3 linked regions of the Lytechinus pictus genome follow. The main gene of each other region encodes a partner of the protein of the gene in region 3 in a complex. Links are inferred from orthologs where the notes say so. Each region holds a gene or a part of one and is shown on either strand. Other genes may lie near its edges.

Region 1 (3,755 bases), on a different chromosome or scaffold from region 3:
ATTTTGAATTTAACAATACAGCATTTATCTCATGCATGACTAGAGAAATGATATGTTTAGCTAGAAAACGTGTTTTCAGACAATATTTTACTCGTATATCACAATTACATGCATTTTATGTACTTATTCTCGTGAAAATGAGTTTCTCCATTCGCATTGTACATAATGTATAATGGGCATATGGCGGCCATTTTGAATTTCAAAATACAGCATTTATCACATAAATTGCATCTCAAATATTATATTCCGTTAAAATTGAATTTTTAGCCAATATGCCACTCACTTATCTTAATTATATGCATTTTAGTACTCACTCTTGTGATTTTCTTTTGTCCCCATTAACATTATACATAATACTGTCAGGGCGTTTGGTGGCTTTTTGAATACTAAAATGTTTCATTTATTACACATATGACATAACAAATGATATATTTCGTTAGCAATCATGTTTTCATCCATTACTTCACAAAAAATCACAACTACTTGCATTTAGTGCTCACTTTTGTGAAAATTATTTTCCCCATTCATATTGTACATAAAGTTGAATACAGCGGTCTATGGCGGCCATTTTAAATATCAAGAAAATACATATTTTTTTCAAAAATCGTTTTTTCAGAGAGTATTTCACTCCTGCAACACAATTACATACATTTTATAGCCAATCTACTGGCAATTTTATGATTTTCATGGGTAATTTGCACATTTTGGCGGCCATATTATTTTGCCAATTTGCGGAAAATGCTCAAGGTTACACGAGTGGCATCATTCAGATTCGTAATCAGCACCCTCGAATTGACAAGAAACCATGAAAAAATATTGTATGTATGAAAAAACAAGGTTTGGACAATTTTCTATGGGGCCTATCCTGGACTATTACGGGGTCATTTTGCACACAGAAAAAAACTCGTTTTTTTAGGGGGGTGTTTGGAAATAATTTGGTCACGCATGTGTGCAGCAATACATTTGACTTCCCCCAGCCCCCCCCCCCCCGGGATTTTTAGACATTTTTATTCTCGCGCGCTTGAAAGATATGGGTCTATGGCGCATGCGCATATGAAAAATTGGCCCATGGCGGCCATCTTCGGAAATAGTACACGCTCTCTAAATTACGTCAGGTTCGTTTAGTTTTAATTTCGTTAATACCACATTTCATTCTGTATCATTCTATTGTATTGATTCCGTCAATAAAGATCTTTATTTTTTGTTAATTTCAAAGCGTTTTGGATATTTGAAGAATAAATATCATTCAATCTTTGTAGCAGATGTTGCACGTTAATGTCAAGTAGGTTCTTCATCTTGGTCCCAGTCGTTCAAATACATGTATGGTAATAAGTAGACCAAAAGCTTCGGTCTCTGTTATGTTGGTTGTTCAGCTGAACTCCGTTGGCTTCACTCACCAAATACAGAGACCGAAGTTCTAGCGCGATCTGTACAGGGGACTCAATGGCCATATGTTTATGTACTTAAGATCGGATAAAACGGGGAAGTGAATTTGCGCGACAGCCGAGGTAAGTCACTGTTTTTGTTCCTTTTAACTTGATTTTTCTCAGTTTTTTGGCAATTAATGCCAAGAGGGAATATTAATTTGCATTTTGGTCGCGTTAATTTGCAAAATTTTTATTCATTAAATACAAAAATTGAAGAGCCCCGACGGGGGGATTTTGCATTGCAAGTCCCCTAATGGTGGCTGCACGCTAGCGAGCCGTCTGTGTACGACTACGAGGAGAAATTTAAAAAAAAAAAAGTTAAAAAACTCCTCGAAACAGACGGCTGCCAGCTGTCTAGGTAATAAGGTGCCCGAACTGAAGGAAAAGTCTGCGCAGTGCCAGTGGCTTTTTTCTGCCTGCGCCTAACTTACATGTATGATGGGGGGACCTAAAGCTACTTACTTTGTTTTCAAACGATATAGACTATGCCAATTTTAATATTTGAACAAAAATATATCGGGTCAACTCGGACCACGGGACATCTCGGACCGCGGGCCGAGTTGTCCCACCCATTACGAGATTTTTTTTCTCACAAATCTGCGTCTATTTTTCCGTCATTTCGTAATTTCTTGTAAAGATTTTCTAGAGATATGGTCTGATGGTAATGTTCTTCACTTTCTATTACTTTTTTTCGCTGAAATAAAAAAAAAGGTGTAATTTTAGGCGTTTTTCGACAGCTCGCGATTCCCATAGGCGCGCGTGTATTAACCGTGTCGGTGCTCGGCTCGGCCCCACTCAACAACTGACTTGATTTTGTGATCATTTCTCCTCAAGTTACCACTTTTATCGCAGAAGATGGACTTTCTTGTATTCCATTAACTCCATTTTCTCATCACAAGAATAAAATTTGGTGCATTTGCACGATTTTGTTAAAGTTTTTCACCTTTTCTCTCTGGTCGCAAGAAGCGAACAACCGATGAACGGTCCGCTGCTCTTCATCGCAATTCTACGTAGCTCGGCCGCCTAAACTGGCGGGGTGGGATTCAGCCCGAATCCTCAATGGAAGTGGGCGTGCACAGTCAAAGAGCTGAGCTTGACTGAGTGAGAGAGTGAACTAGAGCTTGAAGTTTGGCAGTGTCGTATAGGCTCTGCCTTTTTTTGTAAATATTTATATATTTTTTTATTTTCCCTGGTGTAGAGCTTTAAGATAATAATTTAATATACTTCAATTTCTTTGACTGAGTGTGACTGTGGTGTGGATGTTTGAGTCGCACAAAAAATACTTTTACGAGGGTGGGGGCTCGGGGCGATTTCACTCCTGCCCCCGAAATGTGAAAAAAATATTCGCAGTGTAGATGTGTGGGCATGCCGTGCTGAGGGTAGCCATCAATAATAAATGTTTATTTGGGGGCTTAATTTTTAACTTCAAATTGATTATTTTTAGGCCTATTTTTTTTTTCATTTCATTTTATTTTTTTATATTGAGTGTCCCTGGTGTAGAGAGCTGAGTTTTAAGTTGTAATAATCAATATGCTTCAATTTCTTTGACTTTGAGTGTGACTGTGGTGTGGATGTTTGAGTCGCACAAAATATACTTTTACGAGGGTGGGGGCTCGGGGCGATTTCACTCCTGCCCCCGAAATGTGAAAAAATAAATATTCGGGGTGTAGCTGTGTGGGCATGCCGGGATGAGGGTAGCCATCAATAATAAATGTTTATTTGGGGGCTTAATTTTTAACTTCAAATTGATTATTTTTAGGCCTATTTTTTTTTTCATTTCATTTTATTTTTTTATATTGAGTGTCCCTGGTGTAGAGAGCTGAGTTTTAAGTTGTAATAATCAATATGCTTCAATTTCTTTGACTTTGAGTGTGACTGTGGTGTGGATGTTTGAGTCGCACAAAATATACTTTTACGTTGGTGGGGGCTCGGGGCGATTTCACTCCTGCCCCCGAAATGTGAAAAAATATTCGCAGTGTAGATGTGTTGGCATGCCGGGCTGAGGGTAGCCATCAATAATAAATGTTTATTTGGGGGCTTAATTTTTAACTTCAAATTGATTATTTTTAGGCCTTTTTTTTTTCTTTTTTTATTATTTTTATATTGAGTTTCCCTGGTGTAGAGAGCCGAGTTTTAAGTTGCAATAATCAATATGCTTCAATTTCTTTGACTTTGAGTGCGACTGTGGTGTGGATGTTTGAGTCGCTCAAAAAATACTTATACGTGGATGGGGGCTCGGAGCCTCTTCACTCCTGCCCCCGAAATGTGAAAATGTTCTAGGTGTATCTGTGTGGGCATGCCAATTTCATTTTTATTTTTTATATTGAG
Region 2 (3,755 bases), on a different chromosome or scaffold from region 3:
TCCGCAGTTCATGAAGAGCTTCTGCCAAGAATGGATGACTATCTTCTAGTTCCAGGTTAAGCTGACCAGAGACGGGATACGATCTTAGAATGTCTGCTACTGTGGCAACCCATTCATCCGTATCGGTGAGGGCTTGATGGAGAATACCGCTCAGCTCTTCTTTGCACTAGTTTGGGAGAGAATTAATCAAACAAGATATGACGAAGGCTGGTAAAATAAGAGAGGAGGAGGAGGAGGAGAAGAAGAAGAAGACAAAGAAGAAGAAGAAGAAGAAAAAGAAGAAGAAAGGAAACTATATTAAAAAAAAAGAGAAAAATGTTAGAGGCAAAAATGAATGCTCAATGATTATGAACTCTGATTCATATTCATGTTGATTCCCATATTTTGATATAGGGTCTATTATTATTAATGAACAAAACCTTCACTCAAAACCTGAACTTTAGGTTTGATATTTGGTGGAAATGATATATATATAATACAGGGTTTATCATTTGGAGTTTGGAGTTGAAATCTGGATTTTCCTGTGGTGAGTGATAGTGCTTGTGTACATAATTTGTTTGGTGTGTGTTGTTGTGATTGAAAGTGGTGGCTTGTGAAAGTAGTTTGATCTGTCAGATCTCGGCATGTGAAGAATTTAGGGTGCAATACTATGACATGACATGGCTCACTTATTCATTGCTTGTTTATCCGCCATGTGTGAACAGTTTGATTAAGTATTCTCAATGAATTAAATTTACTCTCACCATAATTACTGATAGTGTTTCTTCATTTTAAGCATGAATATATATTTTGCATTTCCTTAATATAACTTAGAACCTTGAACTCTAATTTGACAAGAATGATATTAAATCACTCAAAAGAATATTTGGACAATCCTTGCATGAGATAGAGCTCAACAAATTTTTCTGCCATTTCACCCCATGTTTTGTGAAGATAATGGTTAGTGGTATTGGTAACATTACAAATATTGTTTATATTAGGCTATAAAATTGTTAATTTTGACTTTTGGGCTTAAAATAAAATACAAGTTAGCATAAAAATGGTGTTCTCTTAAATGATATCAACTTCTTAGGAAATCAAAACCAGAATCAACTGTCGATGTTTTGATGTAAGCAAAACATCAAAGATATTAGATTCCCATAAAATAAATTGGAAAATCATGAACTTCCTCACTCACACGTATTGCGAGGTTAGTATTAGTATTACTAACTTCCTATTTTACCCACTCATTCAATGAACAAGGTTATGGTATAACCTTGTTCTCAGTTATATATCCATGTGTGGCAAAATAAGGATGGCAATGTTTGGCTTATTTTCTCTTTTTCTTTGGGACAAATACTTGATTTTTTTACACTGACAGTTTCCATTACACCTATTCGTCATACAACTTGGCCCTTAAGTACATTTGATTCTTTAAATTATTTTTTCTTAATTAAAAATAGAGATAAAAAAATGAAAATTTTCTTGCCATATTATTTTCCACAAATAGAGGGCGTACACAAAAATATGCCCAAAATTCAAGTTTTTGAACGCTCTAGTGAATACAAAAATTATTCTTAAGTTACTAATGAAAAATAAATTGCAACTGTATGGAAATTAGTAATTTTGGTCACAAAAGTGATATTTTAATCATTTTTTAAAGTGTGTGCTCTGTATAGCATTGGCATGCCATAGTCCAACCTGTAGATTCCCAACAGGCAGGGTGGTTGCAGTGAACAAGTGATTTTACCAATATTTTTAGTTTTTCTCATTACTAAAGCTTCGTGCAGATTTGTAAAAAGACCAGAATTTACATGATGCTAACCATTAAATAAAAACTGCTCAGGATCAACTGTAAAAACTGCATTGAAAAAAAAGACAAAAAGTGTCCGACTTAAATTTAGAAATAAATGTTACTGTCAGTAGAGGCGCACGGCCAATATTGGAGACTGTCTCCAATGTGGGAGATTATCTCCAATATCAGAGACTTTTGTGAAGAATTTGGGTATCCAATTTCAGAGACAGTCTCCAGTTTTGGAGACCAATTTCCTTTGTTTACAATTGCTGCAAAAGGATTACCTTGGCGGCAAATAAAAATGTGATAAGCAGATTCCTCATGAAAAATTACCCCTTTTCACCGTCTACACTAAAAATTCACCGTCTACTTTTGTTTTGATAAGGATTTTTGTTGTCAATCACACACTAAACAAATGGGCTTCTGACCTCAGTGAGACAAAATTTTGGGTGGAAAAAATCATGCTTTTGTTGGTGTTGTTTCTTTTGTCCTTTTGCAAAGCAAGTCTCCAATGTGGGAGATTGTCTCCCCTATTGGAGAGAGTCTCCCATATTGGCCGTGCGCCTCTAGTGTTAGTAGTATTAGTAATTAAAAAGTTAAATTTGGGGTCATCGTCGCGTTCATACAGATTACAGTCAGCACAAACATGCTGGAAAAATGATGTGTTATCGTCTCCCTACCAGTGTTAAACTTATTATTGAAAAAAAATGCAATGACTTTGGTATTCATATTTAAGACATATTCCTTTAAAGGCTTTATTCTGACAGCTCTCTGTATCAGCTAACTCACTCATCCTGCATACAAACTTGTGAATAGATGGGACCACAATACTCACCTCTTCCACTTTTCGAAGAGGCATATGGAGAATTGCCATCAAGAGTTTGAGTTTTACAGTCGGGTGTAGAGTCTGAAAGCAATCATGTGTGTTTCTAAGAACATCTTGGTGAAGTTGAGTGCTAATACTTGTAATTCCAGACCAAAGATCATCATTATCACCGAGTTTATTGTGAAGCCAAAGGCTGGTGTCGCTGTCGCGAACAGTCGCCATATTGCGCTTATAAACACAAACTTTTCATGGTGGGCCGGGCCATACAGCGCGACCATTAAGAAAAAGAGTAAAGTAATCAGACCAAACATGAAGGGAAAATTATGTACCCTGTCTACAAAAGGACAAACCAAAATCATGAAATTATAAGACTATTTGTAAGGTATCACAGCACGTATACCTAAGGATGGGATCGATATCCCGCTATTCATCCTCTTAAAAAAATAATTGAAAAAAGGAAAAAGGAAGGAGAGGAGAAAAGAAAGAAATAAAGAAGGGGGGCAGGCGCGGTTCTAGACTATTAAAAGATTGGGGGGGGGGGGAGGGGTGGCTTCAGGGGGCTTGAGAATTTTTTGTACATTGGTTTATTCAATACAATGAAAATGGCCCATTGTGGGGTAGCCTTATACTGTCCCAGCAGCTAGTCCCTCTCCCCCTTTAAAAAATACATTATTAATATTATGCAAGGGAGCGTAGTGACAGAGCGAAAAAAATCACAGTCTCAAAATGCTTGAGAATTGTTTATATATAACATACATCAGGGCCTGATGGGTGTTATATATGTAAATGAGGGCATTTAACGATAAGGGGGGGGGGGTACTTAGGACTGGTTATCAGGAAATGGATTTGTTTAGAGACTTTGAACGTACTAGTATAACAGTATACGACAGCTAGAGGCATAGGCCCGGGGGGGGGGCACTCAGTATATAATGCATAGTGGGTATGTGCCTCGGAGGGGACCCCCATTTTTACACTCAAATTTCCGTTCCAAGGCATAGCATTTTAGTCTTATTGAGGAAAAGAACACAGAAAGCCGCTCCAAAGCATAGCATTTTCTCCTTATAGAGAAAAAAGAAGAAAGAAATCCGCTCCAAAGCGCTCCAAAGCGCTCCAAAGCTTCGCATATTTTTGTTACGCCGTTCCGGTCGTATTGAT
Region 3 (3,755 bases):
TTGCTTAGTTCTAAGCTAGGGCGGCCCAAATGCGCGTGAGTGGAGTCCCAGTTTATTAGCACGGGTAAGTATTGGGGTGTCGCCTAGAGTGCCCTTATGGTGGCTGCACGATAGCAACACTCCTAGTAGACCAAAAGCTTCAGTCTCTGTATTTTGGTTGTTCCGCTGAACTACGTTGGCTCCACTCACCATACATAGACTGAAGGGGGTGGGGCCCCGTACCTACAGCCAACGTATAGTGAACTAGCGTTTTATAGATCGCGATTTAAAACTGTTTTTTAAGCAAAATTGAAAGTTTCATGGTTTCCATTATCAGGGAAGTATAAATAAATTAAGTAATTGCATACCTTGGGCCGGAGTTATTGAAAAAAATCCTCTGGATGATTGAGAAATCTGTCATCTAAGACATTTTCACCTGACCTGACGGTTTTTCTTGCAAGTTGCCATCTTGAATGACGTCATTATCGTTATTAACTTAATGTCTCGAATCGATATATCGCGATTATAACTAGTACTAGTACTAGTATAACTAGTATCGTTTATCTTCGGTTTCGATCGCATATGGAGCAGATCGTATAATATCGAAAGCAATATCGATATCACATTCGTGATTGTTGACGTTCGTTTGTAAATATTTTATAGTTTGGCTGCCATTTTGACCATTTTTATCGTGTTCAACCCAATTAAACATCGGTAAAGTATATTTTTCATGCCTTTTTCATCTATATCGTTTAAAGTATTTAAATGTTAGAATATCATCAATTAAAAGTTTGTTGTTTATACATCCTTAGATTGTAAATTCGATGTGTAAAATTACATCAAACTTTGGACTGTGAATTGACAAAAGGGAGGGAATGAGAACACATGCGAGCCCACACGTACACCCTACCGTCGGTAAATGGGGATTACAGTAAAATGTCAGAAATTGTTGAATAAATCCCCAGAAACGACGGTTATTCCTGTCTACACTCCTAGTACCAATGAGGTCCAAACATTAACATGTATGGACCTCATAGGCGACAATGCGTTAAAAACAGGTTAGAACTTCTAAACGTACTGTTTCCTGCACCCAAGTATATTACTCCCAAAATATGAGTTTTGTCCTCGTTTGTTTATCATTTATTAAAAGATTGCCCATTAAATATATTCCTATTCCTAATTTGAATTTAATAAAATAAAGGGAAACTTACATTTGAGTCATTTTTCGATCTTTTTTTGGCAGTCAGTCCGGTCAATGTCGAGTGCGATCAAAGCGGTATGAAGCTGATTTTCAGATCACGTGATACATGTGGTCATCACCTGATCAATCGACTATCCTTTTTTAAAGACCGCAACAATTATAAATTTTATTATAAAATATATATAGAATGAATAATTGCATGATATTATATATATTTCTACAATAAAAAATATTTTGTGATATGAATTTAATATTTGACGTAAAAATCGCTATTTAACAAAATATTTATTAAAAATAAAAAATCAAACAAAATAAAAACGCCTTGGACACAGTGCAAAAAACCTAACAATTTGGCCGCGTTCTTAACAACTATCGTAAGGGGCGCTCTATTTATAAATAAAGTTGCATATGTAGTTGTCTACCGCGACAGGAACAGCCGCAGAATTGAAGCCAGAAGCGTGGGAAATTGCCAGAAAATTCAAGAAAAGAACCGGTGAGTACCGATTTAACAGTACTAATTTATTAAGTAACATTTATTGAATCATTACAAGATTTATTTTTTAGTAAAACAAAGCTTAGTTCTAAGCTAGGGCGGCCCAAATGCGCGTGAGTGGAGTCCCAGTTTATTAGCACGGGTAAGTATTGGGGTGTCGCCTAGAGTGGATAGCAAGCCGTTTGTGTATAATAAGGAGAAATTAAAAAAAATAATTTTAAAAGTGTCAGAAAACTCCTCGAAACAGAGGGCTGCCAGCTGTCTAAGTTCAGCACTGCCACTGGTAATCCGACCTTACCTCGGGCGAAGTTCATGCAGGCTCCGCTCCACTACGCTCGTAGCGTAGTGGTCAGTGGTAGTGAAGTGGAGCCTGCACGAACTTCGCCCGAGGACGAGGTATCGTAACCCTCAGCACTGGCACTGCTACCGCGTTTACCGAACAGCGGCATAGCCATAGGCATAGCCATAGCCAGGCAGAACGGGCGCAGGCACGGGCAAAGTCCGCGGGCCCGGCGCGCCCGCCGGCTGGTATGGAGACGGAGTGCAGTTGGCGCCCAACCCAGACAAATGAGACAATGCTAAAAAGAATTACTAAGCATACGTACAGCCTGGTCATAGTTCCAGTCAACATCTCCATATTCGTCTTCATCCATTTTCAATTCAAGAGATGAAGTTAGAACTGATAAAATAGTCTCCTATAGAGTCCTAATGCAAGACATCGACAACGTAGAAAAGTATGGCCATGGGCGCTGCCATCTTTGTTGTGCTTAAGGACCAATCAAATCGTCTGTAAATTCCCACTTGACAAAGATGGGGTCTGAGACGGACTCTGTAATTGGTTTAATTTCCGTATTGCGCCGCGCGTGCTGTTTGGCGTCATATATTTGCATATATGCTCGCGCTGCTCGAGCCAGCTAGCTGAGCGTGTCGTTTCGCGAATGTTTGTGACGGTCGACGAAAGCAGTCAATATCCTTCTACATCGGGGCTATAACAATCTTTCAAAATGGTAACTATATATTTATATGAATAATATACATATATGCGATGAAATGTATTACGATTTATTTTAATTTATCTAATGAAGCTCACAATTTGTGACTTATTGCGGGGATGTGTGTATTCGAAAACGGTGTCCCACATGTACATATCTGTGTATGTTTCGGTTTTCTCTTTGAAACTAAAAATGGCATTGATTCGGCTTTCATAGAGACTTGTGAAGTCGTTGAAAACAAATTAGCTGTTGTTGTTTTTCAACTTAATATGGCTCTAAATCGTAGAGCTCTGCATTCCTTACCTTACTTGGCCAATTCAAGCCAGATACGGAACGCAGAGCTCCACGTTAACTTTGTTAATGTTACTGTTAGAAAGAATTTTGGTATCTTCTGATCTTGATTCTTGTAACTTGTATTAATTCATTGTATTGTATTTTAATCCAGTTTTGGCTTTTGAGTTGTGGAGCTCAGCCTCGGGAGCTTGAAAAAAAAACTGTTGGACTAAATTTCAAAATTGTATGTGTTGTAAAGAATTATAAAACAATCTGAAACTGAACTTTGCACTTGATCTAATTCTTCACAAATTTTGTGATGTTACGGCGCCAATGCAATTTCACACTGGCCGACTTCGAGTCAGAAATTGCTTGCAAAATTGTCATGGCAAGTAAATTCAGTCACATTTTGAGGTCAATATGCCCCTGCGTTTCTGAATATCGCGATCGGGAATGGTTGTAACTTGTAGAGTAAAGTGCCCAAATATCCACACTTTTTATTTTTTTTAATTTATATTCAATTCAGTTCATTTTATTCAGTCATTTGATCCAAAACAAAAATACAATCATTGAATCAAATATAATTCATGTAGGATCTATGTTTTCTGTGGTATGAATGTTGAATTGTAGTAATGTCATAAAAAACAATTGGAAGAATATGGTAAACAGAATTTATTTACTTAGGATCTACTTACATGTAGTCTTGAGGACTCCATGATCATGATGATGATGTTTTTTTTAATATTTTGACATATATTTCTTCATCGTGGAGTCTTGAATCCCTGTCCATATATGCAAGGCTCGACATTAGCGGTGG

The links.
Region 1: the proteins of negative elongation factor D-like (region 3) and negative elongation factor B-like are in contact, whole or in part, in a crystal structure (PDB 8JJ6), measured with the Homo sapiens proteins. The link is inferred for Lytechinus pictus from reciprocal best matches to the Homo sapiens genes NELFCD and NELFB. Residues at the interface, in XP_047296144.1 of Homo sapiens: Arg63, Ile66, Met67, Glu68, Pro69, Ile71, Phe72, Leu75, Ile89, Gln90, Leu92, Ser93, Tyr96, Thr97, Ala98, Val99, Ala100, Gln101, Thr102, Val103, Asn104, Leu105, Leu106, Trp109, Leu110, Gln112, Thr113, Gly114, Val115, Gln121; in NP_056271.3 of Homo sapiens: Met49, Leu53, Leu56, Val58, Ala59, Asn60, Gly61, Leu64, Lys65, Leu68, Thr69, Leu75, Ile78, Glu79, Phe81, Gln82, Glu84, Asn85, Gly86, Val87, Leu88, Leu89, Ser91, Leu92, Ser94, Ala95, Leu96, Pro97, Phe98, Leu99.
Region 2: the proteins of negative elongation factor D-like (region 3) and negative elongation factor A-like are in contact, whole or in part, in a crystal structure (PDB 5L3X), measured with the Homo sapiens proteins. The link is inferred for Lytechinus pictus from reciprocal best matches to the Homo sapiens genes NELFCD and NELFA. Residues at the interface, in XP_047296144.1 of Homo sapiens: Cys204, Gln205, Gln206, Leu207, Glu208, Phe210, Ser211, Leu214, Arg215, Leu218, Ala219, Ile221, Leu222, Asp223, Gly225, Glu226, Cys241, His242, Gly243, Glu244, His245, Thr246, Tyr247, Leu248, Phe249, Ala252, Met253, Ser255, Val256, Leu257; in NP_005654.4 of Homo sapiens: Leu23, Trp24, Ala25, Leu54, Leu58, Leu61, His62, Arg65, Pro88, Trp89, Met92, Val93, Ile96, Leu97, Phe100, Gly104, Ser105, Leu106, Leu108, Leu110, Asn116, Val117, Asp119, Ile120, Leu121, Glu123, Leu124, Arg125, Lys127, Val128.

The regions. Positions count from the first base shown.
Region 1 is NC_087259.1:18,432,854-18,436,608, forward strand, and holds the start of negative elongation factor B-like, read left to right. Parts: upstream 1-1,047; 5' UTR 1,048-1,115; intron 1,116-3,755. UniProt on the Homo sapiens protein: Essential component of the NELF complex, a complex that negatively regulates the elongation of transcription by RNA polymerase II.
Region 2 is NC_087256.1:23,775,100-23,778,854, forward strand, and holds the start of negative elongation factor A-like, read right to left. Parts: upstream 2,897-3,755; 5' UTR 2,823-2,896; coding exon 2,610-2,822; intron 167-2,609; coding exon 1-166. UniProt on the Homo sapiens protein: Essential component of the NELF complex, a complex that negatively regulates the elongation of transcription by RNA polymerase II.
Region 3 is NC_087246.1:62,259,546-62,263,300, forward strand, and holds the start of negative elongation factor D-like, read right to left. Parts: upstream 2,443-3,755; 5' UTR 2,327-2,442; coding exon 2,279-2,326; intron 1-2,278. Other genes in the region: small nuclear ribonucleoprotein-associated protein B'-like, read left to right, coding at 2,678-2,680. UniProt on the Homo sapiens protein: Essential component of the NELF complex, a complex that negatively regulates the elongation of transcription by RNA polymerase II.